Linked DNA regions of Lonchura striata. The protein of the gene in region 1 binds, or shares a complex with, the protein of each later gene. Links are inferred from orthologs where the notes say so. Each region holds a gene or a part of one and is shown on either strand. Other genes may lie near its edges. The genes, in order: CRNKL1 and CWC27.

What was found.
Region 2: CRNKL1 (region 1) and CWC27 share a complex: the UniProt entries of both Homo sapiens proteins name them as parts of the minor spliceosome. The link is inferred for Lonchura striata from reciprocal best matches to the Homo sapiens genes CRNKL1 and CWC27.

What each region holds. Positions count from the first base shown.
Region 1 is NC_134605.1:28,347,055-28,362,305, forward strand, and holds the start of CRNKL1 (crooked neck-like protein 1), read left to right. Parts: upstream 1-9,437; 5' UTR 9,438-9,523; coding exon 9,524-9,571; intron 9,572-9,762; coding exon 9,763-9,915; intron 9,916-10,436; coding exon 10,437-10,528; intron 10,529-10,628; coding exon 10,629-10,787; intron 10,788-11,134; coding exon 11,135-11,301; intron 11,302-11,800; coding exon 11,801-11,979; intron 11,980-12,603; coding exon 12,604-12,774; intron 12,775-13,439; coding exon 13,440-13,631; intron 13,632-14,895; coding exon 14,896-14,955; intron 14,956-15,251. Other genes in the region: CFAP61 (cilia- and flagella-associated protein 61), read right to left, coding at 2,655-2,796, 3,803-3,870, 4,282-4,358, 6,390-6,540, 7,181-7,323. UniProt on the Homo sapiens protein: Involved in pre-mRNA splicing process. As a component of the minor spliceosome, involved in the splicing of U12-type introns in pre-mRNAs.
Region 2 is NC_134642.1:28,450,985-28,466,587, reverse strand, and holds the start of CWC27 (spliceosome-associated protein CWC27 homolog), read left to right. Parts: upstream 1-7,465; 5' UTR 7,466-7,595; coding exon 7,596-7,637; intron 7,638-8,368; coding exon 8,369-8,465; intron 8,466-10,016; coding exon 10,017-10,129; intron 10,130-11,341; coding exon 11,342-11,485; intron 11,486-12,269; coding exon 12,270-12,368; intron 12,369-12,528; coding exon 12,529-12,632; intron 12,633-13,580; coding exon 13,581-13,650; intron 13,651-15,603. Other genes in the region: protein SREK1IP1, read right to left, coding at 1,353-1,431, 2,987-3,127, 4,720-4,767, 7,182-7,194. UniProt on the Homo sapiens protein: As part of the spliceosome, plays a role in pre-mRNA splicing. Probable inactive PPIase with no peptidyl-prolyl cis-trans isomerase activity. As a component of the minor spliceosome, involved in the splicing of U12-type introns in pre-mRNAs.

The DNA.
Region 1 (15,251 bases):
CTCTGAATAAGGAAATCCAGCACTTTTACCAGAACAAGTGGTAAAATTCATAAGTCATCCATGCTGAGACTGTGGCACAAAGGCAGGTGGCAAACCAGCTTTAACACTCAACTGCTATCAATAACATAAAGCCACTTTTATTTATCTCTTGGAAAAATGCCGGAATTGAGAGATGCAACCAAAAGCAGCAGAGAGAAAACTGCGGTTGTGTTGGGCTGCCAGAAGGAACAACTGCAACAAACTGCAGGGGAAAACCCTCCCTGCTCTGAGCCAGGAGCAGGCGGCTACCTCGTCTATCACACCAACACCCCAGGAACATTCGTGCTGGACTGTCCCGACGAGCGCGTCCCGGCTCCGGGCCCCGCACAGCGACATCGGGGCTGGTGGAGCCCCGCGCGGTCTCTGCCGCCGCCCGGCGGCCTCGCCAGGCACGGGCAGCAGCTCTTTTGCTTAGGATGCACAAACCTCCTCCTTTTCCTGCACGGAACCAGAACGGGCCCGCGGTGCTTCCCTCGCTTGTCAAGGAGAACCAGGAACTTGAGAGCTTCCCGGGGTTTTGGGGAAAACTCCTTTTGTGTTCCAGGGTCCCACTGCTCAGGTAAGGAAGTGCTTGTATGCGATACCTGTAAGTTGGAGATCATTGTTCTGCACAGGCAGAAACCCAGAAACAATAAACAGACTCAGTGGTATTTACATGTGTCCGGATTTGGAAGGAGACTTAAAGAAAACACAGCTGGGCAAAAGAATGTGTCCGAGTTCCTAAGCACTGCCTGACTCCAGCACAGGAGAGGTGGCCAGGGGGTCTCTGGATGACTTTGGTGCTCTGGATGGACGTGACCTCTGGGTAAGACCATCTTTGTAATCAAGGGTAGGGACCCCTTGGATTCTGACCTCATTTCTGCTTTTTTTTTTTCCTCTCCACTAAAATGAAGCTCCAGCAACAATGAAAACTCACAATAACTCATTCCTTATCCTTCAAACCAAAATGGTTACCCTCATCTCCTTCACAGGAAGTATCCCAAGGGAAAATCTGCAGTGAGGTTTTCTATTATCAGAACATCACCACCTCAGCACAATTCATTACTACGGCAAACCTGTTAATAAGCTCTCAAACCTCAAAAAACCAAACAAAGAGGGGTAACAGAACGAGACTGTATCCCAATTGAACCCTGTTATTTTGTGGAGTCTGCAACAGACACATTCCTCCTCCAAACGGAACATTGTGCCAAGTGTTTTGAGTGCCCCATGTCATTCTGCTCTGTGGGACACAGGACAAGATCACACACAAAGGCACAGACAGCAATTCCTGAAGAATGACCCTATGACAGTCAATGGGCCTCTGCACATACACATTCATCTCTCTGCACACTGCTCTGTAGGAACACAACCGTTTTAACTTGTTTATTCTACCTCTAGTATCTTCCACCAGTTTCACAATATTTAAGAAAGTAAAGAAACCCTCCAAAACCCAGTAAGCTTTCCAATACAAAAATGCCACAAATTTCCTCTATTGTGAGTGCAAGCACAGAGCTGCAAATTTGACTCTTGCCTCCAGGCCACAAACCCAAGAATAAGACATCAGCAAGAACCTTAAACATCAAAGCTCAGTGGGCTGCATTCTGACACACTGCATCCTTCACATTATAAAGGCCAGACGCAGAGTATCTTCCAAAACTATGGTTAAACCAATGTATCAGTTTACAGCTGCTTTTCCCCCTCTGTAAACAGGGGAAGAGGGGACAGAGATTACCCTAATCTCTTCCCACTGCCCCAGAACATGTTGCTAGGCAGGTGGCTGCAGACAACATCCACAGAGGAGTCTCTAAGGGCTCCCACTGACTGTTACTATGGATGCCAGTGAAGCACAGAGATGAATGCAGAGGGAAAGGAAAGCAAACAGAAATTAGTCTTACCTGTTACCCACTGATGGACAACACTAAAGTATGAGTTTTGTATCATCACTGTGTAATTTCAGAGGAAAACCTGTTTCCCAGTTAATTTTCTAATAATACCAAAGCTAAAGCAATTTTTACTTTTTATAACGAACTACTAAAATCCCAGACAAGATGGTAGCTCTTATCAGGAATATTGCTATGGCCTAAGTGACATTTCCAATCATGCAAAAGAACATTTGACAATATCCAATGGCCACCAAAAAAAAAAATTAGCTTAAACTGAAAAAAAAAAAAAAAAGACAAACATGATAGTCAGAACCAAGACAAGTGGAAAGACTTTTAATCTTCAGGCATTAACCCACCTACTGATACCATCACTGTATAAAAGTCCATTCACTTAGTTATAGGTGAGAGACAACTCAAAAGAAACACTCAAAAAGCCTAACAATTGTACATCGAGTCAGTATGAGAGAGAATTTTACAATATTGAAATATCCAGAGCTACAGCAAGAGGATGTGAAGTGGCAAAGGTCAGGCCTCAGGCCTTTTTCTTAAAATGCTCAAAAGTCAAGCAAAAGGAGGAGTTCAAGCTGCAGATTTGCTTCAAACTCATGTGGTAAAATTCCATATATGCAATAAACCATCTCTCAGACACAGGCTTCTGTCAGAATGCAGCCCAAATCAGCCCATAAATAAAGAAGGAAAATGCTGCAGTTTTCCCCAGTCAGATGTGCTCAGGGAAGCAAGACGCTGCGTTACCTTGCTTGGCGCACGTACAGCTGTGGGTGACACCGATGCCTCGGGCATGCCAGCAAGGTGAAACCTCTCTCCATGGGTGAGCCTGGAACAGGCATCATCCTTTCAAAGACATTCCCCATGTCCAGCTCTGAATGACTAAAACCTGTCGGGGCAGCACAGAAACTTCATTATGCAAGCTTTAAATTAGCAGCAAAACTGTCTAAGGAAAATGGAGTTTCAAACTTAAACCACAGATAGCAAAATGCTCCAAGTCTTTTAAGTTAGGCAATGAGGCTGAAATGACAGCAGCATAAACATGCAAGAATCATCACCAAAGTCATGTAATTAATCCAGCATTTCAAACCTGAATAAGCTTCAAAGCAATCAGAAATTGGTAGAAAACAATCCCTATAAAAATAATACAGCCAATTCTCTATGCCTCTGGAGAATCTCTGTCAGGACTCATAGTACTGAAGGAAAGCTAATGTGGTTGCCAGGGTGGATTTGAGAGAAGCCCTGTTTTTTGTAGTTGACACACCACTGCAGTCTTTTAGTGTGACTTGGAACCAACATGTCTAGAAGCCAGCATTATCAGAAAAGTCCCAGCCCCCTTTTCAGCTCAATTTACATGCATGCTTGGTTTATTGGTCACAATTCAGGACCAAAATTCCATGTGGTCCTGTTCTCTGATTAACACATGTATTCTCTACCTTTGTACCTCTGTTCTAGAAGAAATAATCCAAATTTCCTTCTATGTCTCCAGCAGCTTCTCTGAGTCTCACCAAAGTGAGACCAGTCTGCACTGGCTTGGCTAAGTAAGAGAAAGTGACCAATTTCAAGTCTCTTGGCTCAATTCAACCAGAAAACTTCACAAAACTTGTAGGTATTGATTTTTGAGATCTTTACTCCTTTCTGATGTCCTGTTTCTGGCAAATTTAAAGATTGCAGGGAATAGACGGACTGCTGAATGGCCACTGGAGTGAGCATAGAACCACAGGTACCTCTTGCACATGGGATCTTCACAAGAAGATACTTTTAGATTATGTTTTTCACATGTCTAGAAACTGTTCTCAGTATTAAAAAAAGGACACCACAACAAGCTCACAGAGCATATTAATCAGGTTTGCAATTGTTCTCACCTCAAGAATAAAAGAGTTTTAAGTTCTTACCTAACCTATCCTCAGGTGGTATAAAGAGAAGTATAAACTCCAGTTCTGGTAGTAAGATGAAAGCTCTCCTGTACAAATAACAAACATATTCAGTCTTTTATTATTACACCCATCAATGACAGACAGCAGCTAGCTTTTTTTAATATATAATTTTTTTTTTTTCCTCCAGTGTCTAGAACCTTCCTTCATAAGTCCACATGGCTCAACAATTAAAACATTTCTGACAAACAATATAATGTGAAATTTATCTGGGTAATTTGACTAGTTTTTCCTACCTTATTTCTTTCAAATTTTCCAATCTTTAAATTTCAAACATCCTCTTTTATAGCAGTTTCACAGTGGTGAAATATTTAAGATATCAGGCCTCTTCTGGCAGATATTTGACAGGGCACCTGGATGAGACTTCTTGACTTGACAAACGTGATTTGACAGCAGGAGAGGGCATGCGCCTCACCACCCAAGGCTACACAGGAACTCACCTAACAATTTCTTGGGAACATCCTGCTGCATAATCTTCCTTTGCCACAAAGAGATGCATGAAGAGTGTGTTCAAAGGCTACAAAACAAGGAATGAAAGCCTACACACCATGCAGCTCATGTTAATTCCATCAGCTCAAGTATTAGTACACACATACATTTCCAATATACATGATTTGCACTCAAGGAGCAGCAAAATATACATAAGTGACTTCAAAGCATGTGTGGGTAAAGTTACGTGATTAAAGTGCTTTATATAATTTTGTGCTTCTGCAACATTTTTTCTTTCTACTCAGTTTACTATTGTTTGACTGCAATACATGCTGTACATTTCATATTGAACAGTATTAATTCTTGACTAACAACATCCAACCACATTAAACACTCAACATGTGTCTAACAAAGACATTCTTTTAAGGTTAAAAGAAAAACCACAAACCGAAAGCTCACCTGCTTCTAATAATCCTAAAGTGGTTTTTCTTTAAAGGTAGTAAGAAAAATTACATATTTTAACATGACATCATTAGACACACAAATACCAGGCAAAAACAGAGCAGACTAACAGACACCTTTATCTTGTGCACCTCCACTAAACATGGAAAACCCCTGTGCTGGAATGGCAAAGGCTATTAAATCATCTGTTCTCTAGCATATTAATTACAAGTCCTGGGTCAGAAAAGGTCTGCTTGAAGATAAAAATAATTTAAATGTAAAACCTGAGATCTTTTGAATAGTATAATATTCAATTAAAACACCACAGCTAGAGGCACCAATAAACTTCAGCAATTTAAGAGCAAGAATGATTTCAATAGAGGCTGCAGTACATGGACCAGCATCAGGACAACAAGCTATTCTAACAAACATCTAAAGACATCCCTAAAAATCAGGCAGTTTGTTTTTTTAGAAGCAAAGGGAAGAAATAAAAAAATATATTACTGTTGAGGTCCGAGAGGACATCAAGTATACCAGACGTGGACTGTAACTGTTTCTGGATAGTGCTGGTAACCAGACAATCCAGTACAGCATCTTCACTTATCCCTTTCTGCACAATTCAACTCCCACTTCAGACCCTGAAATTATTTCTGTACTCTAGGAAAAAGACAGGTCAACTATACTTCACAGAATTCCTACATTCAGATGACCTCAGTTTTGAAAAGCACACCTGCATGGATTTAACCTACAGTTTACCAATGACATCTCATCAAGTTATACGCCAGAAAATGTTCAGCTTTCTGCCAATGCAGAAGCATAAAACACTGACTCTTCTACACCTCCTTTAGCAAATAAATTCCATTCTAGAAAAATAGAATGCTGCCCGTTTAAAGATATTTTTCACTACTGGTTCTGAACAGTAATTCATTTTTCTTTTCTCTGCAGACCCCTACACCAGATCCCACAGAGCCACCACGCAGCCTGAGGGAGATCATAGCACAGCAGAACCCACAGAGAAGCTGCAGCCTGAATGAAGTGGCTGTCCACAAAATGCTGCTCAAGGGACAAAGTCCATTACTAGGAAATCACAGGTCCTTTCTGCACACTCTCTTTGGCTGTACTGGTGGTGTTTCCTTTAAGAGCACACATTTTCAAACACTTTGTCAGTTTACCTTCAAGCCATTACTTAACACTACAGAAGACCATAGGCAACTGATGAACAAAATGCCCAGAGATAACTGCAGCACTGCCAACACCTCTTAATGGCACATGCTGCACACCTTATGAGTGCTTGGGGTTTAACATTTTCTGTATTTTTTCAACAATTCCACAATCTAGTTCCCAGCTGGACTTGGTGATGTGGGAGCATTTGAGTGCTAAACTTGTAAGGGCCTGTTTCTGTAGATCCTACCAGAAAGTCACAAGCTCACCGAAGGAGCCCATGTGAAAGTCACCAGCAGCCAGCAAGACACAGAGCAGTAGTCTCCCCACCAGCACCGAAAAAGTTCTCTGCAGAACTAAGGTTCCCCTTGTCAGCACGAGGGTTTGACAAGGACTCCATCACCTTCTGTATCCTGAATGCCTCAAATCTACCAGAAACAGATCATAGATGCCTATGTGTATTTTCCATACCTGAACCTTAAATGAAAACTCAACTAAAATCACACTATTTACTTACAGTGCATTTATTGTTAGTGTAGTTTTCATGCAGGAATGGTTCCCATTCAGCCTGATCAGTGATATTCCAATTCGGATAGTCCAGAAAGGCAGCATGAGCTATAACCTCATTCTTCTCATTGCAGAGTGTTAAAGCAAGATTTGATAATTCTCTATGAAAATAATTTAATTTTGCACAAGTTAAAGAAACTCCACATAGAAAAGTGACTTACTGCAAATTCAGCCTGCTGAACAGCAAAATTAGCCATGTTCAAGAGGGTTCCCAGGATCAGGCCTGAATTAAACTTCACCATCCACATGCTGACTTGGAATTGTTACTTCAGTTCCACACATTTGTGCTCTAACATCATAAAAATTCAGGAGGATTTTCAAATCCTCATATTAGTAAATTTGAGATGCAAGACTTAAACATTCCCTTCAAAACATTTGTATGTGTCTTCACACATGTCTTTTTCCCCAAACAGCTGTTATGCGTGATTTTTGCTATTAAGGGGGAAAACATAAGTGACCCACCAGTATCTATCACACAGCCTGTCTGCTGACAGCTTTTTTCAACAGCATTTCTTCTGATCTTTTACAAAAAGAAGCTAGTACAGAATTAAACCTTCTCCATCATGGCAGAGACCCAGGTTTGCACAGTCATCATGTGACAGACATGAAAGTAGATTTTCTTTCAATTTTTAGAAGCAGCACAAAAAATCATTATGCCACACCATGTCAAGGGTCAGAATGTTTTCTGCCATTTTAAGTGTAATTTTCTGAAAGGTGACAACCTAAAACACCATTACTTACAAAAGGTAAGTGACATCAATCCTTCCAAAGAGGTCTTCTGTGACAGGTCTGAAGAGGCTGATAATGCCCGAGACATCATGTGACTTTGTCCTTCTGGCAGTGACCACATCTGTATTTCCCCTTGATGAAGTTACTGTGGCCATCCCACAAGCTGCACTGAGAACGAAGGAAAACACTTCTGGCTCCAGCCATCCACTGCCATCCCCTGCCCAACACAGTCACTTCAGGTGGGTTTTCATAAAAACTCTAAATTGGGGCAGTTTGTATGGATTTGGTGCCTGGCTCCTGCATACCACCACACAGACAGGCACTGCCTGTTCGTTGCACACCTGAAATGCAGTAGGCAATTACTCCTATGGTCTGGATCCTACAGAGGAAATTAATTGTTTTAATAGGCTACAGCTGCTTTCCTATTTATTCATTAGCATGCTAACCAGCTCATCACCAAGAACTTCAAACTCAAAGGCCTTCAGTGGGAGGCTCAGCTGTGGGCAGTCAGGGGAAGCAGGCTGGAGACTCAGCTGCAAACAACCAGGTACACAATGTTCCAATTAAACAGCAGTTTCACATGAGTTCACTGTATTTTGTCCAAAACTCCTTCTCGGATTTCTTTTGAGATCAACAGTAAGGCTTAAATTTCTGAAGGAATTCAAAGTTCTGTGGCTATTCAAAGTTCTACTGCTTTCTTACACAGAAAAAAAAAAAAAAAAAAAAGTTGTTTTTTTTTTAATGGCTCCACATTGAGAAAATGTGCCAGGCACAGCTGATATGTTGATCCGTCCAGCAACTTTAGAACACACCGGGGCATCAGATCCTCAAACCACTTGTGACCATTCCCTCGGGTCTAACACCCTTTAGTTCTGTGTCTCTGTGTCTCCGCTCAGTACTGCAGCCTGCTGTGACCCAGTCAACAATCAAGCACGTGAAATAAAGCGACCAAACAATGGCTTCCCGCAATTTCTTAAAATTCATATGCAAAATATAGCAGTACTAACTTAAAAAAAAAAAAAAAATCTAAGCCAACACACCTGGACCAGCAGAGCAATTCCACCACTCTGCCAAACACAACAGCCACTTCCAACAGTGACCCCAAATGCAAATGTGATGCTCAGTTATCAAGCACCTCAATTCCTAACTAAAATGAAAAACCAAAAGAAATTCGGACTTTCACACCTTTTAAATACAGAGTTACATGCACTCCTACATCTTTCACATTCCAGCGTCAACGCAGGTCCTGAAATTAACCTGAAGGAACACATCCTCTGCAAACATGCGTCAATTTTAAAAATGAAAACTAACACGAACTTTAAAGGGCTATTCATCGGCTGAGGTTTAGCGCACTAAGATGACTTCAACTGAGGAAAACTGCTACGTTTTCAGTCAATTTTTAAGTTAACCCCCCCCCCCCCAAAAAAAAAAAAAAATACACGCATCTCCACCGGCTCCCCAAAACGCTCCCACAGCCAGAGAAAGCAGTAAAAATGTACCATTTTCGTAAGGAAATACGCTGCTCCTACAGTAACTTCTGCACTCGTCCCGCGGAGCAGGATCCCAGAGACACCCAGCAGAACAAGAAGAGGAGGGCGTTCCCCTCCCGCACTCAGAGCACTTCCCTCCCGCCTCCTCACACAAACGCTCTCTTGAAGCATAAGACTCCACGCGGTTTCTTTGGTGTTTGTAGCCCACATACCTCGGGAGGGCTGCGAAGAGCTGTGGAAGGCTACTGCGGGAGGCTCTTGAGGGGCACCCCTGGTGACTTGGGGCGGGGCGGAGCCGGACCGAGTCGGACCCGGGGCGGTACGGCGGGGGCTGGACACGGGGGCTGGACACCGGGGCTGGACACCGGGGCTGGACACGGGGGTTGGACACCGGGGTTGGACACCGGGGCTGGACACCGGGGCTGGACACGGGGGTTGGACACCGGGGCTGGACACCGGGGCTGGACACGCCCGAGGCGGCCTCAGGACCCCCGGCCGCGAGCCCCCTCAGGCACGGTGGCCACGCCCACGCACGCGGACAGACCTACACCGCCGAGCCGCCAGGGGGCGCCCCGCCGAGCGCGTGCATCGCCCGGCCAGCAGCGCGCGCACTCACCTGCCCTGTCCCCGGCGCTGCAGAGCCAAGTGGCCACGGAGCGCCCCAAGGACAGGAAAGACAGCGCAGATGGAACAGCTGAGCCCACGGACGAGACAGACCGAGCGGTCCTACGGACGGAACGGACAATCCCACCGCCCTCCCGCCGCCGACCGGGACGCGTCGCTGTTGCCGCGGCAACGACGCTCGGGCGGTGCTGCGTGAGGTCAGGGGTGCCGGGGCGGGGCCGGCGCGCGCAGCGGCGGAAAAATGGCGTCTACGGCAGCGGGGAAGCAGCGCATCCCCAAAGTGGCGAAGGTGGGTGGCGGGGAGGGCGGCGGGGACCCCCCGGGACCCCTCGATACCCATTCGTCTCGGGCTTCGCGTCCCGGCGGGCTCCGACCCCGCCCGCGCCGGGCACCGCGCTTCGCGAGGCGCCGGAGGAAATTGATCGTGCCGGTACTGCGTTAAGAAATGTGAGCCGAGCCCCCCTTGTCCTTACCTTGCAGGTGAAAAACAAGGCACCCGCCGAAGTTCAGATCACAGCGGAGCAGCTTCTGAGAGAGGCAAAGGAGAGGGAACTCGAACTTCTCCCACCGCCTCCGCAGCAGAAGATCACAGATGTTGAAGAGCTAAATGACTATAAACTCCGGAAGAGGAAGGTACAGTTAAAAAGAAAAAAAAACCGGTTTAATCTTGACACTCATATAAAGCACTAAAATTCCACTGTTTTTAACTTAAACAAGATGTAGTCCCTATTCCTTGTGGGCTTTCCAGTTGAACACAAATTCTTTAAAACCTTTTTTCATGCTACTCTTTAGCAGAACCTGCAATTTACAGATGTGTTGCTTGAAACTGTGCCTGTGTTCAGAACACTGAAAGGGTAATTATTTACACAATTAATAGGAGTTTTCTTCATTACCAGCAGTATCTGGCCAGCCACTATAAAAATATGAACAAAGACAGTAAATGACACTACAGTAATGCTGAGTTATAAATCTTCTGTTGAAAGAATTGCTTTGCTCATGCAGATTTACCCATGGTTTTGCTTGGCTTTTTGCTTTGAAAGTACCTAAGCTAAGCAAGCATATTCCTGATGGTTATTATAATACCCCATAAGCCATTTTTGATGTGAATTGTCTGCACAAGGATTTCTGACTTACAGATAAAATTTTCTCCTCAGACTTTTGAAGATAACATAAGAAAGAACAGGACTGTTATCAGTAACTGGATAAAGTACGCACAATGGGAGGAAAGCCTGAAGGAAATACAGAGGTAATGATGATGTGACTGTAGGCATATCTTAAGGGCGTTTTTAGACACACACTAAAGTCTAGGAGGCACATTTTACCTGCCCTGTACTCATGTTTTCCAGAGCCCGTTCCATTTACGAGCGTGCTCTGGATGTGGACTACAGGAACGTCACCCTCTGGCTGAAATATGCCGAGATGGAGATGAAGAACCGCCAGGTCAACCATGCCCGGAACATCTGGGACCGGGCCATCACCACCCTGCCTAGGGTGAACCAGTTCTGGTATGGTGGCCAAGCAGTGAGATCCCCTTCTAGCCCCAAAGACCCCCACAGTATTTGGCTGTTCTGGGGTTATACAGATTATCCTGCTTCTCTTCAGGCTGGTCTGAAAAAAATGGAGGAAAGCTGAAGTTTTGGAAAGGTTTTGTACTTTTTAAGTGGTAAGAGCCTTGGGAGAGAAGGGTGTTTGTGTGCCTGGATACTGCCAGTCACTGCTGTGCTTACAGACATTTCTGGGGTGGGAGGAAATAGGTGAGGGGAGCTCAGGGATACTCTTAGGAAGCACTCCAGAAATCCCTGAATGGATATGTTCCCCATGTGATTGCAGAAACTCAATCTCCTTTCTCCAGGTACAAGTACACATACATGGAGGAGATGCTGGGGAATGTCGCTGGGTCACGCCAGGTGTTTGAACGGTGGATGGAGTGGCAGCCAGAGGAGCAAGCCTGGCATTCCTACATCAACTTTGAGCTCAGATACAAGGAGGTGGACAGAGCACGAGGCATTTATGAGAGATATATCCTTTTCAGAGTCTTGTGACTCCTGCCTGAGTTAAGGTCTCCATTCTTTATTTCCTTCCTAAATATTCCATGTCCAGCAACGTCCCTGTACTCCTTTTCACTGTGGTGTGCTGGGAATGACCCACCACCCTGGGAACCAGCAGGAGGTGTTAAAAGCGTGTTTAGGGAAAGCCTCCAGATTCAGTGGAGTGGCTGCAGGTTGTACCACAACAGTGTCTGTTTAACTGCACTGCTCATGCACCCAGCTCTTTTGTAGCTATCGTTTGTTTCTCCTCAGATATTCCCTGACCCTTATCCTTTTTTAAGTTCACAGTAAGGCACAAAACCTTTGCATGCTTATACCTGTCAGTGTCTTCTTCCTAGCTGCATTTATTGTTCCCCACATGTACCATCCTGGTAGGTGTTTGATGAAGTCCTTGACCCAGTAGTCCCTGGGAAGAACACAGCTGGGGATGTGCCACTCGGCCAGCACTGTTTCTTTAACAATAGCTGTACTTGTCCTCGTTCACCCTGACGTGAAGAACTGGATCAAATACGCGCACTTCGAGGAGAAGCACAGCTACTTTGCCCACGCCAGAAAGGTGTATGAGAGGGCAGTGGAGTTCTTCGGGGAGGAGCACATGGATGAGCACTTGTATGTGGCATTTGCTAAGTTTGAGGAGAACCAGAAAGAAGTAAGTTTTTCTTGATCTGAGTCATGCCAGTGTTTCTCCTTGAATATCAAACTAAAGGCATTTAACATTCACTGCAGTACTTGCAGTTCTCAGCCCCTCATGACTGTAGTCTGAATTAGGGAGACAGTTTTTTGCTCACCTCTAGTTGCCTTTTGGTGCCATCAATAAAATGTGTTCTAAGGGAGATCTGCCAAGCCCAGGACCAACAGCATTGGCTCAAACATGTATCCTCAGACTGGAGGGGTTCTGAGAGGTTATGGGCCTGCATGATAGAAAACTGGATTGGTCTAGATGTTTTTCACAGTTTCTAAGGTTCCCAGGCTGTTATGAAATTGAAGACATTCTGTGAACCCCAAACCACAACCTCTTAAATTGGTTTAAATATTCTAAACCTGTAAATGAATAAGAGATGATGGGGGCTGGCATTTTCAGATTTATTTTTTCCCCCTCAGAGTTTACTCTTCAGGGAGATCTGTGTTAGTCCTCTTTTAAAACAATTGCTTATGTTGGAATGTCTCACCATTCTGTATTCTATTAAATATTGCCAAAAGCTCATTGAAATGCTGTCAGGGAGGACAGAAACTGCTTTGTAAATATTTATGAAATTATATTTAATATTTTTAGTTTGAAAGAGTGAGGGTTATCTACAAGTATGCCTTGGATAGAATTCCAAAGCAGGACGCCCAGAATCTCTTCAAGAATTACACCATCTTTGAGAAGAAGTTTGGAGACAGGAGGGGAATTGAGGACATCATTGTCAGCAAGAGGAGATTTCAGTATGAAGAGGAGGTGAAGGTATGTAGGACAGGTACCCTCCAGGCTCACTGTACAGCCAGCTGGTGTTTAAGGGACACGAGTATTTTGTGATATCAAGGCTGATGAGTTTCAAGTTACCCTTGAAAGTCAGTCCAAAAAAACACCAAGGGAATATTCATTTTAGAGACAGAATTCCATCCCTGGGGAAGAGAATGGTATCTAAATTCACTGCTTTTTTTGTTTCTGCTTTCTAATCTAGATTGTGCAGGTGAGGGTTTTGGATTGAACTCAAGGCTTGGTACCCTTAAGGATAATGCAGTTTAGCTTGTGGTTACTACTTAGGGAATATCCATTATAGGACACCTCACCTGTGCATAAATACCTTTTAGTGAGAAAACACCTGTGCCACACCTGTCTGCTGTTCAGTCCACACTGCACATTTCATCACTCCTCATCCCTTCTGACACTTTGCTTGGACTGCCTTCATTGAGACAATGCTGAGGGCAAAACAAAAACAAAATTTAAAGAAAAGTCACTTTTCCTAAGCTAAAAGCTCTACCGTAACCATCCCCAAGACTGACAGTTTTCATTAATATTCCAGTGATCTGTTTTAAAGGGGAAATTCTGACTAAGTAAAGCATGAGGCTCTGTTAGTTTTAGTGACTGCAGCTTGTTTGCTGTTGCCCCATTCCCGTCTCTGAAAGGCAAACCCCCACAACTACGATGCATGGTTTGACTACCTGCGGCTGGTGGAGAGCGACACGGACACCGAGACTGTGCGGGAGGTGTATGAGAGAGCCATTGCCAACGTGCCCCCCATCCAGGAGAAACGCCACTGGAAGAGATACATCTACCTCTGGATTAACTATGCACTCTATGAGGAGCTGGAGGCAAAGGCAAGTAGTGACAATTCAGGGTTTCCCTTTTGTATAGTAAATAGCTGCTGATATTTTAATAGGAAAACCAAGAACTAAATATTCTCTGTGTTACTAACATGCTACAGGATTTATTATTTAAATACAGAGACTTTTTCCTCTTCCAGTTTTCCCTTCTGTGCATAAGGGAGGGAAAAAGCCAAACTCATTTTATCCCAATTCATTCAGAAACACACTGATAACAAAATCAGGAGTGGGTATTTCTGGTGGCCCTGGCTGAACTGCCCATGGCAGACTGTTACCTGAACTTGTGAAATAGTTTTATATTTTAAAAAACTGTTTGTGAAGCAGCCAGGTTGTAGTCATTGTAACCTTTGAGGCTGTGCAAGTATTTATTGGAACATTAGAGCTGCTCTGAGTATGGAACACCTGTTCAGTGTCTGTTGTCATAAATGAAAATTTGTCCAGCTAAATTAATATGAAAAAATAAAATATTTATTTTGCAATCAAATTCTCTCTAGCCAGCCACAAGGAAAGAACAGAACCGAGCCCGGGGTCGGCCCTGGGTGTACAACAAGGAGTCAGCTTCAGCAGAGGTTTTCCCCCATGCCCACACACCTCCATCCTGTTACAAGCAGTTTTTATAGGGAAAATTCCACCTGAGGCCAAGATTTCAGCAATCAGTCTTTTCTTCTATTCGGAGTCGATATGTTAATAAGATTCTCTTTTTTTTGGTAATGAGGGAGAACAATTCAGTGTCTGGAGTTTGTTGAATCCCTTGATGAAATTTACAGGAAGGCTGCATTCACGTGTATCTGTCTGAGGATTTCCATGATATCCATCTCGGGTTGTTTATGCGATGATCAGCACCTGGGGTTTCCCTATCTCCGCAGACATCTTACTTGTAAATTAGGGTGTGGGGGAAATCCTAATACAAACGTGTATACTCTAACAAATATTCAATATCACATATATCATATTAGAAATGGCGCGAATTATATCTACTACACATAACACTGTTAAAGGAAAAGACTTACTTTTCCTCCCACAACCAGGACACTTCTTTTTTGTTGGCTTCCTAGCACTGAACCTTGCTTTGAAAAGGTGAGTCTTGTTGATGCAGAAGCTACCACCTTTGAACTGTGCACACTAAGTAGATAAGCATTGCAGATTCTAACCAGCTTAACTTAGATGCTGTTCTGCAGTTTTGCAGTCACTGCAAGATTCAAATTCAGCATAATCTCAGCAGTCAACAGAGTGTTTTACATGCTGTCTGTTTTTACAGGATGCAGAGCGAACCAGACAGGTGTACCAGGCATGCCTTGAGCTCCTGCCCCACAAGAAGGTATGGCTCCTCCATCAGTTTGGTTTGAGTTTTGGGTTAAAATGCCCTAGATAAGATCCTTTCTCTTCCCCTGCTACATTCAGGGGTGTAAGCAGCTCCAAATGGCTGCTAGTAGGTTCATCGAGACTCTGCTTAAAACTTCAAGTATCTCTTCCAGTTTCTCAAAACTTCCGTCTTCCAAAATGGTTTTCCAGCAAGAGTGCAAGATGTCTGTAATTGGCATCACAGAGGGAAACTGCAGGGCAAGCACTGGTGTCAGGATTCCCTCATACATATGAGACACAAGGGTTTTTTCA
Region 2 (15,603 bases), on another chromosome or scaffold:
AAGTATGACAACAAGATAGAGCTTCTGTTTTTAAAATCCCCTATGAGCATTAACAATGCTAATTAATGCCTTCAGATATATGTCCCTGATGCAAAAATGTAAGAGAAACTGTTATGAAAAATTTTTACGTTCTTGCAGCTCATACTATTGTGAGGAAATAAAATGCAAGACTCTCAAAAGTCACATCACGCATCTAAGAAGATGAGGTCAGGAGTTGAACTAAGCTAAAGAATTCCCAGAACATGTAAACTCAAAGGAATGTTTGAGTATGTATAATCTTCATGAATATGCATTTGACCAATGCAATTAAAACGTAAGAAAAGTTGTTATAGTTAACCACATGCATCTGGCTATGGCTATGCACCCAGCACTGTTACTTTTTTTTTTATTCCTTATTAAACTTTTAAAAATTTTATAAGAGTGGGCCTCATTACTCACAAAACTGACAACCAGATTGACTCTTTTCTATTCTATTTCTTCACAAGTGTAAGGGATGTCTTCAACAGTGGAAATTTGAACTACACAGTGTAAATAGGGAAAAGGAAAAATGCAAATACAACAGGTATTAAATCCTGTTTCTTTGTTTTGGAGGGAAATCTTCATATACATTTTGCAGTGTTACCTTACAGAGCAGTTTCTGGCATATTCTCTTATCAATTGTCTTAATGATGAAACATTAGTCTCATCTATATTGTCACTTGAAAAAACCCCAAAAAAGTAAGTCAGTCCACAGGCCAGAATCTAGATTCATAATACATTGGATATTATGACATTTTAGGCTTCTATGTTAACAGGTACATAAAAACTCAACACCTGTTCAATTTTACAGAAGTTTCCCTTTTGATAACTGCGAGTCACTCAGAGCCTGCAGGTGTGCTTACATATGTGTGTGCCTGCAGGTATGTTTACATATGCATGTGTGCACACAAAGAACCCTACAGTCTCTGAATTTCAGAGAGCCTTCTCCAGACTGGCTAGGTTGGGGACCAGCCCCACAATCCTCCTGGCTTGTTCTTTTCCCATCACAGCTTGCTTAGAGTTGGACAGTCAGGGGCAGTTCTGCTTTTTCTGATCTGCAGACCTGCAGCTTGCTAGAGCTTTCAAAACTCCTATGATCCCAACTCCACAGCAGAAAGCCTGTGACTCCAGCATTAATCTAAGAACATTTACCTTACCATTATTTTACCAATGCTTTATCATTAGTCAGTTCTCACTGGAAAAAAGAAAACTTTTCAAATGGAAGAAGTACTTGCAAAGAAAGTTGCATCAATAGAAGCAATATTTTCTGACAAAACACAAGTCTCAAAAATATTTCTAAAGCTGTGTTTTCAATAGAAGTGTGTGAAGGTTACCTTTTCCTTGGTCTTTTTAATTTTGTTTTCTCTTTGCTTTTCCTTTTTTGTTTCTTTTTTTCTTCCTCTTCATTTAAATCTATAGGTAGAAAGTTAAAGTTTACAGAACACTTGTCTGAATTAAGATCAGCATTAAAAAAGTAAGTTCAATAGCGATGTCAAGTTACTATAGAATTCTTGTTAAAAAGCTTTCTTTTCCTTCCCTCAAATTCTGGTTAGTATAGTAACTTCAGAAATATATTGCAGTAGCAGCAGGACTTTTATAGACAACTTATATTGACATTGATCTAAGCACTAAAAATGAAGGAAGTCCTGTAAAATGTAGCAAAAAGACCTTTTCCTATAAATTTACACAAGATTCAGGTTTTCATATCTCTTCTTTATCACCAAAAGGGTGATAAAGTTCTGGATTGGTCTGCCTGGGGAGGTGGTGGAGTCACCATCCCTGGATGTGTTTAAGAAAAGACTAGATGTGGCACTCAGTGCCATGGCTTAGTTGAGCTGTTAGGGCATGGGTTGAACTCGATGATCTTTAAGGTCTCTTCCAACCTAGTGATTCTGTGATTCTTCTGTATGTTAACAGTTTTAACATTTAACATACATGTCCAAAGTCTGAAAACTAGAACAAATAAAGAAAATAATATTCTGTTAGGCTTCCCTGAGTTACCTCCACACATCCCTATTTCATGTTTCACAAACAGCAATGCTGTGAGACATAGCTGTTTTTCCTGCAGATACCCATCTTCAATAACCTTAGGAAAAAACCCAACCTTTACATTCAAAAATACATAACAAGTGGTAAATATTTTTTCCAAAGAGACTTATTGCAAGGAAGTACCATTGCAGTACCAATTCAACACTCTTGATAAAGAGCCCATCCACTTCTTTTGACGTGTACAACTATAGAGTTCTATCTATCCCTTTTCCTTTCTAAATAGCATTTTCCGTAGGAACTAAATGTCAGCACATATGAAAACAAAAGAACAAAATATAATGAAAAACAGAAGGGTGGAGGAGAATAATGTTCATTAATTTACAACACATTGAGGTGAAACAAACTCCCCTTCTTACTTAGGTGCACAACATCTTTGGAGTCCAAATTCAAATGAACTCAAGTATCTGATAAACAATTAATCTATTCTCACTTTGACAAGGAGCTGATACTCAGACCTTCCAAATATAGAACAGTACTTCTCAAAATACAAATGACTGAATTCCAGTCTACTAGCTGTTTCAGTCAAAATCCTACTTAGGAACTGGAGAGAAATTCAAGTGTCATATTTCTCAGTAGTTAGAAGATGTTTATACTATATGTCATAATCAGAAGATTAACTCAGAACACGCATGTCATTTTATTCTAAGCTTCTTCTTAGTAAAATATCAATCAATCTCTTGTATTTAGGAGCTCCTTTTGAGATATTCCAAACACATACATTAGTAACTTCCTATACAAGGAATTAATCATAATACTAAAAGAGTGTGGCTGTGTCAAACCTCTGAAGTCTAAACACAAAGTAAAAGACCTATTTTTAAATCACAGGCCAAAAGAACTAAAAGGAGTTATCAGAAAGGATAAAATGAGAGTCTCTGCATGTCAGAAGACTATTATCCAAAACCCACAAAAAACACCTTACTCTTTTTTTCACGCATGGCTTGTAATCTCTGTAGTTCCTCTTCCTCGCTGTCTTCGCTGCTAGTGCTGCTAACATCCAAAACAATATCTCTTTGGGGATCTACTCGGAGGAAGTTTCGACATTCAAATGTCAGATGACCAGCTGAACAAAATAAATATACAAAAATAAAAATTACAATTTACCAAAAGAACATCAAAAACAAAAGAAAATTGATTTTTGTATTATTCAGTTTTGAGAAGTGAAAGGAAAAAAGGGAGTCTGTGATCTGTGAAAGGGGCAGGAGAATACTTACTTTGAAAAACTCTCCAAGAATTTGATAGAAGAGCATTGCACAACCTATTTAAGAGTGCTTTATGGCCTCTCTCCTATTCTGCTAATTTGAAGATTTTTTTCAACTTTAGTTTCTATTTTTTAATGAATGGTCTTAGGTACTTTCTTAAGAAATTATAGCATGAAATATTTAAAAAACTACAGAAAGTATTGCATTGCTTAACTCCGTCTAGTGAAATGGTAGAATCCTATTTACTCATGAGACATACTCTTTAACAGCCAGCACTTAATACTGACTAAATTACTGCCTGACCAGTATTTTTTGGTTTTTAAGTTACATCTTGATAATCATGACCAGCTAGAAACCTTGTGCTGAATACTCATTGAAATTTTTAAAAAGTAAAATTTAAAAAAATGGAAGATATGGTTTGGGAGACACAGTAATTCAAGTAGTAATTGAAATAAGCTCATGTTCTTAGTAAGGATGATAACAAACTACCTACACCTTGAAGACAGATATTTTTAGGAACATATAAACATGGATCACATGATATGACAAGTTTCCTTCTCTTTCAGAAAATTTCTGATACTTGCTGCATGTAGAAAGAAAGCACTAAATCTATATTAATATACACTGTTCTTTGAAGGAACAGATACACAAAGCAAGTCATTGACAAAATTTGTCGCAAAAGCCTGAAATGAAAGAATGAAGAAATTTTTTTTCCTGTCACCCTGTAACACTCATATAAAGAATCCGAACAGCTTAACTCACTGAGCTAAAAGTTCAAAACAATTCAGTACAAAACAGCATCCATTCCTCCAATGTTCTAAAAATAAGAATCAGTGATTAAAAATTTAAAATCTTCACTAAGACCTGTCTCCATTAATCATGAAAGTAGCCACAGACATTTACAACTAGTGTATAATCCAAAGCATGAGCTAAATGCCAATTGCAGAACTTGTAAGCAATAACGGTAGCTGTTTCTTGAAATACACAATGCACAAAATAATATTTTCTTAGCGTAAATGATTATACAGATTTTAAACTATTGTTTTTTCTAGTGAATTAGACTGGACTTAACTTCAACTGAAATGCCTGCTTCTTTGCAGTCAGATTCAGAAGAAGCACAAGTGCTTATATCAGTATATATCAAAGAAGGCACTTTCAATTAAGTTTGAAAAAAGTTTCTCAAGTAATTGCATTGAAATGTAGTATGTACAAATATAATAGTATAATTTTTTTGCTAAGAAACTCAAAGAGTAATGATAAGTGACATAAACCAGAAAATGAACATGAAATAAACAGAAGAAATATAACATAGTACTTTAAACTGACAAATGTCTGGGCAACAAAGGAGAATACGTCTTTCCTTTTTTTCCCCCCTCTCCTCAAAAAGCAGTTCCAATCAACACCATAAACTGAAGAAAACACTGTAACTTCATATTGCTTATTACAGACTTACGGTAGCCACACTTCTTGCATCCAGCTCTGATATTATCCTTATTTCCACCTGAAAGAGAAAATTTCACCAATTAGGTGTTGCTGAAGAGAGCCTTCAAGTCTCTTTCAAATGTTTCTTGACAATGTCAATACATAGACAGAAGTGATTACCCCTCAAGAGTATTAAGTACACCAAGATCTCTTAAAAAAAACTGCACTTCTAAGCCTACTTTTCTGTGCAGTAATCTATCAGAACACTCTTGACTAATTTAAACTGCTAGAGATCATTTAGTCTTATCTATTTTAATGCCAAATCCTAATTTGATTTATTGTGACCTTTCCACTTGTTTAGTTACAGTATGAACACAGTAAGAGATATCTAACATTCCAGGGATCTGTAGCACATAATATAAATTCCAGCACTGCAAGGATGTTGACAGACATTCACTGGAAACTCTGAAGTGATTCATATTTTAATTACAAGAACAGACCTTACAAAGCAATTAAAAAGACCAAACCAAATCAAAAAATAAATCCTTGAAAACAAAGAAGGAAATTAAAAAGTCAACAAATTGTTAAATTATTCTGAATCCAGACAACATGACACCAAACACAAAAAATGCAAGAAATCAGAGTCAGCAACAGAAAAATCTGGATTCTAAGCAGGAAGAAGATCTGAATAATGCAAATTTTAGGTATTGAAAGTGTGTGATTCTCACACGTGAGACAACAGTTAAGTGAAACAGACACCGCAGGACACAATTCAGGAGACGCACCAGGGATTTGCCCCACCCCCCAACAGATCAATCTTAATTTTAATCATTAAAGCTATTGGTAATGAAAGTGACAACTGAATTCCCAGAATCAAACCATTCTGTCTTCCAACTGAATACAGTAGAAAAACCCCAGCAACTTAAGCAGTCATATACTATCAGAAATTGAGCACATTGGTCACATTAATTTAAACTATGACTTACTGAAACAAGCACTGTTTTTAGAAAATTCTACTCAAAATAACAGAAACCTTCAAACCCCAAGTTGAAAAATATACCTTGGAAACTTGGACAACTCAAGTGTATGCCTTAAAGAGTGTTGGAAAGCCAAGCAACAAAGATCCATAATTCCACTATAACAGGTGATTTTCAGCAGATCTCAAACCCTCAGTATTACATATCCCCTTCAAGGTCAGCAGTGTTCAGGTACCTGTTTCGTGCCTACCTTTATAAGGACACCCATGAGGGATACAAGGAGGTAGGGAACATAGAAGAAAGAGTCACAAAATAAAAAGCAAAAGCATACCCGCAACCTGCAATGTCACATCAGAAAAACACTCAAACCAGCATTTGCTTGTTCACTACTCCTTGAGACTAGAAAACAAGATCACTCAAGCCACCTACTTTGTCCCAATTTTCTGAAAAAATTCTGAGTCAACCTCAACCCCACTGCACAGCTGACCTACATAAAGAAGGATTTGGTATTCCAGCCAAGCGAGGTCAGTAAAGTCATGTGCACACTAGAGACATCTCCCGTGTGAGGCAGGCTTTCCTTTCAAGAGATACCCAGCAGATGACAAGAATGTAAATATTGTCGTCAAATATTCCTACCAGATTCCTGCGACTGAAATTTTGTTACTGTTTTAGGCTTTAAATAATAATGTTAGAAGCAGGAGCTTAGACTAGATGAAATTTTAGCTGACTAAAAGCAAACTAATTGCAAGAAGCTTCCTTTCTCACTCCTTCCCATATCTTAATTCTCAAGACAATTAACAAGTGGTACAGAACTAAGGACTTCATTCACTGGAGAGTAAGACTGAAAAGAAAACCTGTGGAAACCTTTGAATGCAAACACGTCTTCCTCAAAAACCCCTTCTAGAATGGGAACAAGCTTATGAAGGCCTTCGTTTAATCAGAGAAGCAGATCACCAAGGCTCAGGCCTGTTCGGCTGTTCTCGAACCAAACACTGCCCTGTTTTCAGGGCAAGAGCACACTACGGAGCAATGGCCAACACAGACCTGAACACCTTGCACATCGCGCAGGTGTTTCTGCCTGCCCTGACCCACAAGAACCATCTACTGGGACACAAGCATTAGGGAAAAGCCAAGTCTGCCAGCCACCGCGCTCTCGCTCCAGCCTCAGAGGAGGCGATGGCAGCGCGGCGCCGGGATCCCGAGCCTCGGGACGGGCCCCGCAGCGCCCCCGGCTGCCCCTGCCAGCGCGGGCACGGCCCCACCTCATCCATCTCCAGCTCATCTCCACCTCCACCTCATCCATCTCCAGCTCATCTCCACCTCCACCTCATCCATCTCCACCTCCATCTTCCTGCCGCTGCCCCGCCAGCCCGGACCGGAGCAGCGCCCGCCGCCTCCCACACGCTTCCCAGCGCCGCGCACAGCAGCGCGCCCTCCCCGCCGGCTGTCCCGGCTGTCCCGGCCCCGCCGCTCGTTCCCGTGCCGGGCTGCGGGGCCGGGGCCGGCCGCCCCTCACCCGGCAGAGCCATCGCGCCCTTCTCGCCGCGCTGCACCGGCCCGCAAGCGCAGCGACGCCTGTCCCCACCGGAAGGCTTTGCCCGGCGCACTCCCGGATCGTACCACTCCCAGGGAAGGCAGGGGACCTCAGCGCCCCTAGGGCGGGAGCAACGCTGGGAGACCCGAGAGGTGTGGAGAAGCCTGCCGACATTTCCCCAGACACGTTGTTTCTCAGTGAATCTCGGAAAGCCTCTGGCCGAGGACTCGTTCCTTCATCCTTTCTTCGGCTTGTGCAATTTCGTCCCCCCTCCCCTGGGCTGCATAGGGGCGCCCAGCATGGCGGGCGGCTCGGGGCGGTAGGAAGTGCTGGCGGCGGCGAAGCGGGTCCGGCTGCTGGGGAGGGCTCGCCGGCCGGGCCGCTCCTTTCCCCACCATGAGCAACATCTACATCCAGGAGCCGCCTACCAACGGGAAGGTGAGGCTGCCTGGGTGAAATCCTGGAGAAGCTGTATGTTGTAGGGTTATGGGGGGACAGGCGAGAGGAACACGAGCTGGGGTGGTGGTGATGATAGTGATGGTGGTGGTGGTGGTGGTGATTGGGGGTGGAGAGGTCGTTGTTTCTGTGGTTGATTGGTTTGGTTAAAGTTACTTCTTTGAGGCTGCCAGAGTCAAAGCATGTGGCGTGATGTTTGGAGACATAACACAGAGCAGTCCTCGGAGTTTTTAATTTAATTTTTAATTTAATTTTAATTTAATTTTTTAATTTAATCTGCTTCGGATTATAGTTTACCTCCTTAATTTTGTTATGATCTCTCACTGGATATTATGTTCCTTGTAAGGGCAATATCTGGATATTTATGGCTTTTTTTCCCCCCATGCTGCTCAATATAGAAATGATAAAGGGTATCTAAAGTTTCTGTGAAGCATCAGCCATCTTATGTTATGTGTTATGCTATGTTATGTTATGTTATATTATGTTATGTTATTACAACTATATTATACATCTTTATTATGCATATTGATTCAGAGCTGTATCTCAAGTTCTGGAAATGCTAGTTAGAACTAACAGTAGCTACCTGACATACTTAAATATATATCACTCTTACAAATATAACAAATTCAGATTTAATTTTTTTGGGCAGTTTTACCTTTGATCAGTGACTAAGTTACAGTAAACTGAGTCTTCATTTATCTGTGTGTTTATAGGTTTTGCTGAGAACTACTGCAGGAGAGATAGATATAGAATTATGGTCAAAAGAAGCACCAAAAGCATGCAGAAATTTCATCCAGCTATGTATGGAAGGTAATGATTGAATGGGGTGGGGAGCTGTTGAAATTAATTACTACGTGATCTTTGTGCCCTTTCTGTAAAATAGAGGTCATAATTATATTTTGACTTTAGTATGTCAATAGGTTTATTTGTGTTCAGAAATTATTAGTTAACACTCTGGCAATGTTTTTCAAGGTTACCAATGAAGCTAGTGGAGAAAAAAAATAAAAATTTTGGATGATTTTCTCAAATTAAGCTGATGACCTAGAATTGAAACATTGTCTTTCTGAGTCTTGAGAGGCTTTCTTTCAGCAAATGTCTACAAATTATAACAACATCAGTGTGTGCATAAAATGGCAGTGATACAATATTGGCCATTCTCCAAAACTGTCATTTCTGCATCACAATTTACACTATCATTTCTTTTTTCTTTTTTCCCTGAGCACTCCTTATGTTTCAGTTACTGTATTTTTTGATTGATAAAAGCTCTGTAAAACTTTCCAGCAAACTAGTGGGTTCTTGAATGAGAAGCTCCCTTTTGAGAAAACTGTAACAAAAATCTATGAAAGGCTTGATGCCTTTATATGTTTTCTAACTGGTATTATTCTCCTATTTAAGCATTTGTAAAATTGTGAAGAGTTCTTTTTGCCTTCATATGTTAAACAAAAATAGCAGTCTAAGCTTTGTGCCTCCAGCATAGATCCAGTCTGTTTTGTCCAGTCTCTTTTCCTGAATGTTGAGACTTTTTGCAATGGTAAAGGAATTTCTAAGCCCATGATAAAGGTTCATATGTGCTCAGTGGGTTTAATTTAAGTCTGATTTTTTTTAATTACTGTAAAGCATCTTGTGCTTTATAATACATTTAAGTATTTCTCATTAATATCCTAGCATATAACCATCCATGACTGTGTCTAGTTATGCTGCAACATTTGCACACCCTGCCTTATCTTGCAACATGCTACAGAATTATTTATTATTATTATTATATCAACCAGGGGTTTGATTCAGGTAAAGTTTTGTTTTCAATCCTTTTGTTTTCTTATGATCGTATAACCTCTATCAGATAGATAAAAGAAGATATCTTAGAGAGCAAAATGTACCACATATTTTATTCTGCAAAAATTACCAGTTTCAATACAGTGCAGGTGATTAAAGATGTTCTATGCTAGTGAGTGAAAGTGCAAATCATCTGTATATGGGTATTGCTAATGGCTAATGTTGTATGTGAGATCTCATCCAGGATACAGCACCATATTTCTAGTTCTCCTTTAAAATTGGTGCATTTTGATAGTGTCATTCCACTAATAAAATCTTAAAAGTTGAAAAGAATGTAATTCATCAAGGTCATCTTGTCAGTGATGGGCAGGATTTTTTGCAAAAGAAGCATGTGATACCACAGGTTGTGATTTCGTAAGTCTGTGGAGAATAGAACGGAAACAAATAGAAGCCAACAGTGGAATCTAGTTGCAGTATTTGCTTTCTGGAACTTCAGTCTCTGGATATCACTGCATGATCTGTATGAAAGTTTGGGTTTGAGACCACTTACATGTATTTAAAATATATATATTTCTTTTTCTTTTTTAGAGTATTACAATAACACAATATTTCACAGAGTAGTGCCTGGCTTTATTGTGCAAGGGGGTGACCCCACTGGTACTGGATCAGGAGGAGAGTCAGTCTATGGAGCTCCTTTCAAGGTGTGTATCTGTTACTTACACATTAATTTGTTGGGTATTCTCTATCCTTTGTTATTCCTACCAAGTTCTGAAAAATCAAATGTTACATGAAACACATACTTGAGCAGTAGTTGCCTTCATGTGCTACTTCAGTGTGTTTGAATATCCCCTTCTAAATTGAGAGTTCTTAGATCTAGCTATGCTGGTATAATGATAAACCTGGGGGCTCAGATCCTGAGCAAAGCTACACACAGGCTGAGCAGCTGTGTTCTGTTCTGTCTGACTGTTTTATTTCAGGTGGGGCAGGCACCTTTAATTTGTGACTGAAGCTGCAAAGCCTGTTTCTAGGCCTTCCAACTTCTTGCTGACTTTTGCATTTCGCACAAGCCTGAAGTTTGTGGGAGGGAATGGTTCCTGAGCAGAGAACAAAACAAAAATTACCAATATTGTAGTAGCATTGCTGCTTCAAAGTAGTGGTATCTCAGTATTGCAGTGTTTAGAATTGTGATATTGCAGTGGTATTCAACATGTTCGCCTTGCTTTGAAAGGAGTCTTATTTTGTCTTCCTAATTCTCGACAATGTTCTTCCTATGGATTTTTGCATTACTCTACTATTACAAACTGTTATTGTGCTTTTAGTAACTTTACATGAATTAGGATTTAAATTCAGTTTTCCCATAAATACAGTGATTGTCAAGAATAGTATTTTTGCGAGAAGTGTATGAAATGCAGTTACTTTTTAAAATTTTCTTAATATTGGAGGATAACAAATGCAAAAAAAAATAATGAATAACAATTGATTTTTAGGCAATAACTGAAAAAAGATAAAATTAACAAGACAGAACTTAAAAGTTTTTTGATTAGTAATGTGTCTTTATGTTATTGATAATTTAGTTTCTAATTTTTTGTTTGGTTTTTGTTAATTGTTGGTTTATGGTTTCTTTTGAAGATTGTTCATTTGTTTCCATCATGAGAGGCACTAGGGATTAGAAATACTGACAAAAAGTAATTTTTACTGCTCATAGTAGGAACGTCTAAGTATAATTCTAGCATTGAGCTTCAAAATACTTGGGATTTATTACTGTCTGAATTTAAAAGAAAATTAGCAGCATTTTTTGTGTGTGCATGTTGATGTAAGTAGTGTCACTCCTATCTCCTATCATGCTGCAGCTAAAGGAGTGAAAAGATAGCTTAATACTGAACTCATTCTCTTTTCTATCCTGCTTTTACCAGGATGAGTTCCACTCACGATTGCGATTTAATCGAAGAGGACTTGTTGCTATGGCAAATGCTGGGCCCCATGATAACGGGAGTCAATTTTTCTTTACATTGGGTCGTGCAGATGAACTTAACAACAAGCACACAATCTTTGGAAAGGTCTGTTACATTAATTGGAATCCCAGTTTAAGTCTGACAGAAGCTACTACAAGTTTCTCTGAAGGCTGGTTTAGTATTGTTTGCTGCTATGTGCATTTGAAATTTATTTCAGTGCTTTCTATGCTTTCTCCATTCTCTTCGTTTCTTATATTTGGCATATATTTCTTATATGTTTCTGTGGGTTGTTCCTGTTATTATCTATCTTGCTTTTGTTATTCTTCTAAATTGTATTTTCATGTTGTGCTGCCTGTAAATAATCTTATTTGTATTATTATGGCTCTGTAATTAATCAGTTCATCTAATACTAATGACATGTTAGAAAATTCTATTTAGAATTAATTAGATTCTAATTACCCAAGAAGGGTCAGGAAGATGAAATACATGAGATTAATTTACCACTCTCATTATTTACTTAAAAGAAAACAAAGCAAACATTTTTTTATTTCAGTGGTTTTTGTTTTCCTGTTTCGTAGCTCACAGTAAGACTTCAACATCTTTATCTGCATACATTCTCAAAACTACCTGTATTCCTTCAACTTTTGCCATTAAATTTTAAAACCCAAACTTTTGTTTGAGTTTTAAAATTTACTAGTACTGCATTGTGTACATTTACAAGTACATTACATTGTACTTGCTGTCTTTTAGAAGTCTTACATGCTTACAGTATTTCCTATAGCACCTGTACTTTCAAAATTTTTTACATAATAATTGTCTTGTATTTTGAAGAATAAATAACACAAATTACAGTCTTGCACTTTCAAGCGTTTCTTTGTAAATTTGCCAGGTTACAGGGGATACGATATATAATATGTTGCGTCTGGCTGAAGTAGAGGTTGACAAGGAAGAGAGACCTCTCAGTCCACACAAAATAAGGAGTAGTGAGGTGAGTATGTTCTGTTTGAAATGTGACATTTAAAATTTTTTTTTGTGCATAGTCTTCAGAAAACTTGGCTTGTCCTTTTGCATATTGTTTTAAAATATCAAACCACTTAATTACAAAATATTTGCTAAAGACATGTTTAAAATACTGTTTTTTTAAACAGGTTTTGTTTAATCCTTTCGATGACATTGTCCCACGACCAAACAGAAAACTGAAAAAAGACAAACCAGAAGAAGAAACTAAAAAGTCTAAAGTAAAAGGCACAAAGTAAATATATGCAAGAGAAATGGTGGTTCATTTTCTTTCACCTTTAATTTGTACCTTGGCAAGTTTTTGCTTCCATTTATGCGTTTGAAGTCCTTCCTTGTTTCTGGGAGGTGGGGTCATGCAAATCTAGTTTCTCTCACTGAAATGTTACTGTGCATCTGCTGAGCTGTAACTGTTTCATGCACAGTGTAGTTTTTTGAAATAATAGCAGGTAGTTTCTTTCCTATGTCCTGCTATGTGCAGTCATCTGAGATGACACTGCAGTTAAAACCTCCTGGTGGGAATAACTGGGTCACAGCTCAGTTGTTTGGGATTTTTTAAACTTATTTCCTCATATATCATTTCTCCCCCATTGTAGAACTTAGCAAGAAGCAGGCATTTTGACATGGGAAATTTTAGTTTCTGTGAATGAAAATTCATAAACATGTGATGAAAAGTAATAGGAATGTTAAAGTGGGCATGCTGTCAGTTCTGCTGCATAAAAATAGAACATGTTGCAGCTGACTGGTTCCAACAAAGTGAACAATTAACTCTTGAAAAATAAATTACAGCTCATTTTTTTTAATTGCATTCTGTGAATGTGTACACATTTGATACATTTCTGAGCTTTCATATCTTGAAAATTTGTGTCTTGAATGCTGCTCTGTTGAGAAAAAACTGCAACAGAACTGTCAACATTCAAGAATCTGGGAAAGTGAGTCAAGACAGGATTTCTTAAACTGTCTTAACTGATGTTGTATTTCAGGAGTATAATACAACATGCTGTTCTGAATATTTATGATTTATTGCAAAGCAAAATGCAGTAGTTGGTTGGAATTGGTCCATTTAACAGGATAAAAAGTTCTTTTTTAAAAAGTCATGTATAATATGAATGTAATATATTTAAAGTTAATGGAATGTTACTAAGACAGTATTTAAAATTTTACTATTTTTTTTTTTTTCTTAAAGAAACTTTAACCTGCTTTCCTTTGGGGAAGAAGCTGAAGAAGAAGAGGAAGAAGTCAGTAGAGTTAGTCAGGTATTGTACCAAATTATCGTGATTTGTCTTTCCAAACTAATTATCTTTTCTGCATATTTGTGGAAAGCTTTAAAGTTTTTAGTCTTCTCCCTACATTTGCATTTTGAACAATAATAATAGCAGTTTCTTCAGTTTTTAGGATTCTGCTGTTACAGCATTTTGAAAAAACAGAGGTTCATAGCTTTCTTGATTTTGAGGGCACCTTGAGTTACTCCATGAATGTTACATTTCCATGAACAAAAAGTTTCATAGTATAAGTTTATCTCTGCTGTTTAAAAGTCATGGAAGCAATTGATACTTTATTCTTTTTCAAGTCCTTTATTAATGATTGCAATTATATAGTAAAATACTTGATTACTGAGGATAATCTTATGCATTTCCAGTGTATGCTTAGCTCCATTTTTTTACATTTATCCATCCATCTGTAAGCAAAATGACATGTGAGTATTGTGGAAAAAATAGTCCATTATCATAATTTAATAGTGCATTATAGTGAAATGTTTGCATTCACAGAACCAGAATTGGTCTAATTTTTCCTTTCCTGGCTTGGCACTAAAATAACATTAATTTAAAAATTTCTTAAATAAATTTCTGATTTATCTTCTACTGCTGACGAAGTTGTTTTGGTAGACTCCTAGGCTTTCTACAGTACATCGCTGCTTGAGTTAGTGATTAGACAGCATGGTTCTACATCCTGTACCACATAAGTGAAAAAAATGGTTGTTAGTACTCAGAAGTTAGCTGAAATACAAAAGAAAAACAGTGAATAATGATGGACAATATTATAGTGAGATAATGATAATAGAGATTTATTTCAATATCAGCTTTAACTATTTTTCTTTCCTTTTTTCAACTTACCAGTCAGACAAAGTTTACTTGTTTACCTTAATATGCTCATCTGCTGTTTTGCTCTGGCCGTTTATCTGGTTTCTGATACTGAGTTTGACTCAGTTGCTTGGACTTCCTTTCTTTTCATGCCAAATACTTGTTTTCAGTTTAAAATTATCTAAATAGAATGCCTCTTTCATGATAAGCCTAGTTTCAGTGTTTCCATACTCTCTTTCAATTCAGCCTCAAAAACTCATCTGCTTATTTGTCCTGACTAAATTCTGGATTGGTTGGAGCTAGATAAGTAACCACAACAACTCTTTTTGAAGAATTTCTCGTCATTTTTTTTAACAAAATAAAACCTTTTTGATACCTCATTGTTTGTTCATAAGAGGTCTAGATCAGTGTCTCTGTAGTTCTGGACATTATCTTAAGCTGATTAAGTTGAAATGCATGAGTATCAGCACTAACTTGCATTCTTTGTTTTTGATAAGAAAAATGGAATGTCAAAGTTGTTATTGAGATTCTTTGACACCTGCAAACTTAGAATCCTATGAGCTTTTTGTGGTTGCTAGATGCAGTAAGTCTTGCTTGTTTTAAGAGGGGCACAGAAGCTCTGAGTAAAACCCCTTTAAAGCCATTAGTGCAGTCAAGGATCTGGCTCTAGGGCCCCCACTGGTCATTGATCAGTCTTAGCCTTCAGTGTCCAAACTGCTTATTGTTTGTACCTGTTTGGAGCATTTTGCCATACACAGCCCCAGCACCACTCCAAGCACACTGACCCTTCCTTAATGAAGGAATAATCTTTTCATTTGCTGAATGTGTTAGTCTTTGTTTTCTACATTAAAAAAAAATTGTAGTTGCATTTAAATAAATAAAATTTTGTCCACATGTCTACTTGTCTTCCCAAAAGCATTAGACAATGCATCTGCAAAGGAGACATTCACAGTACAGACTGTTCCTGCAGCAGAGATTTTCAGTCTGATTTTTCTCTGAAAATGAAGAATATTTCTTTTTCAGATTAGCATGCAGAATGCTTCCTAACTGCACTGTCTCTTTTTATTTGAATTCTTGTGTCAGTAGATCATTTCTAAATTATGTATTCCAGACTGATATATTGCAGTT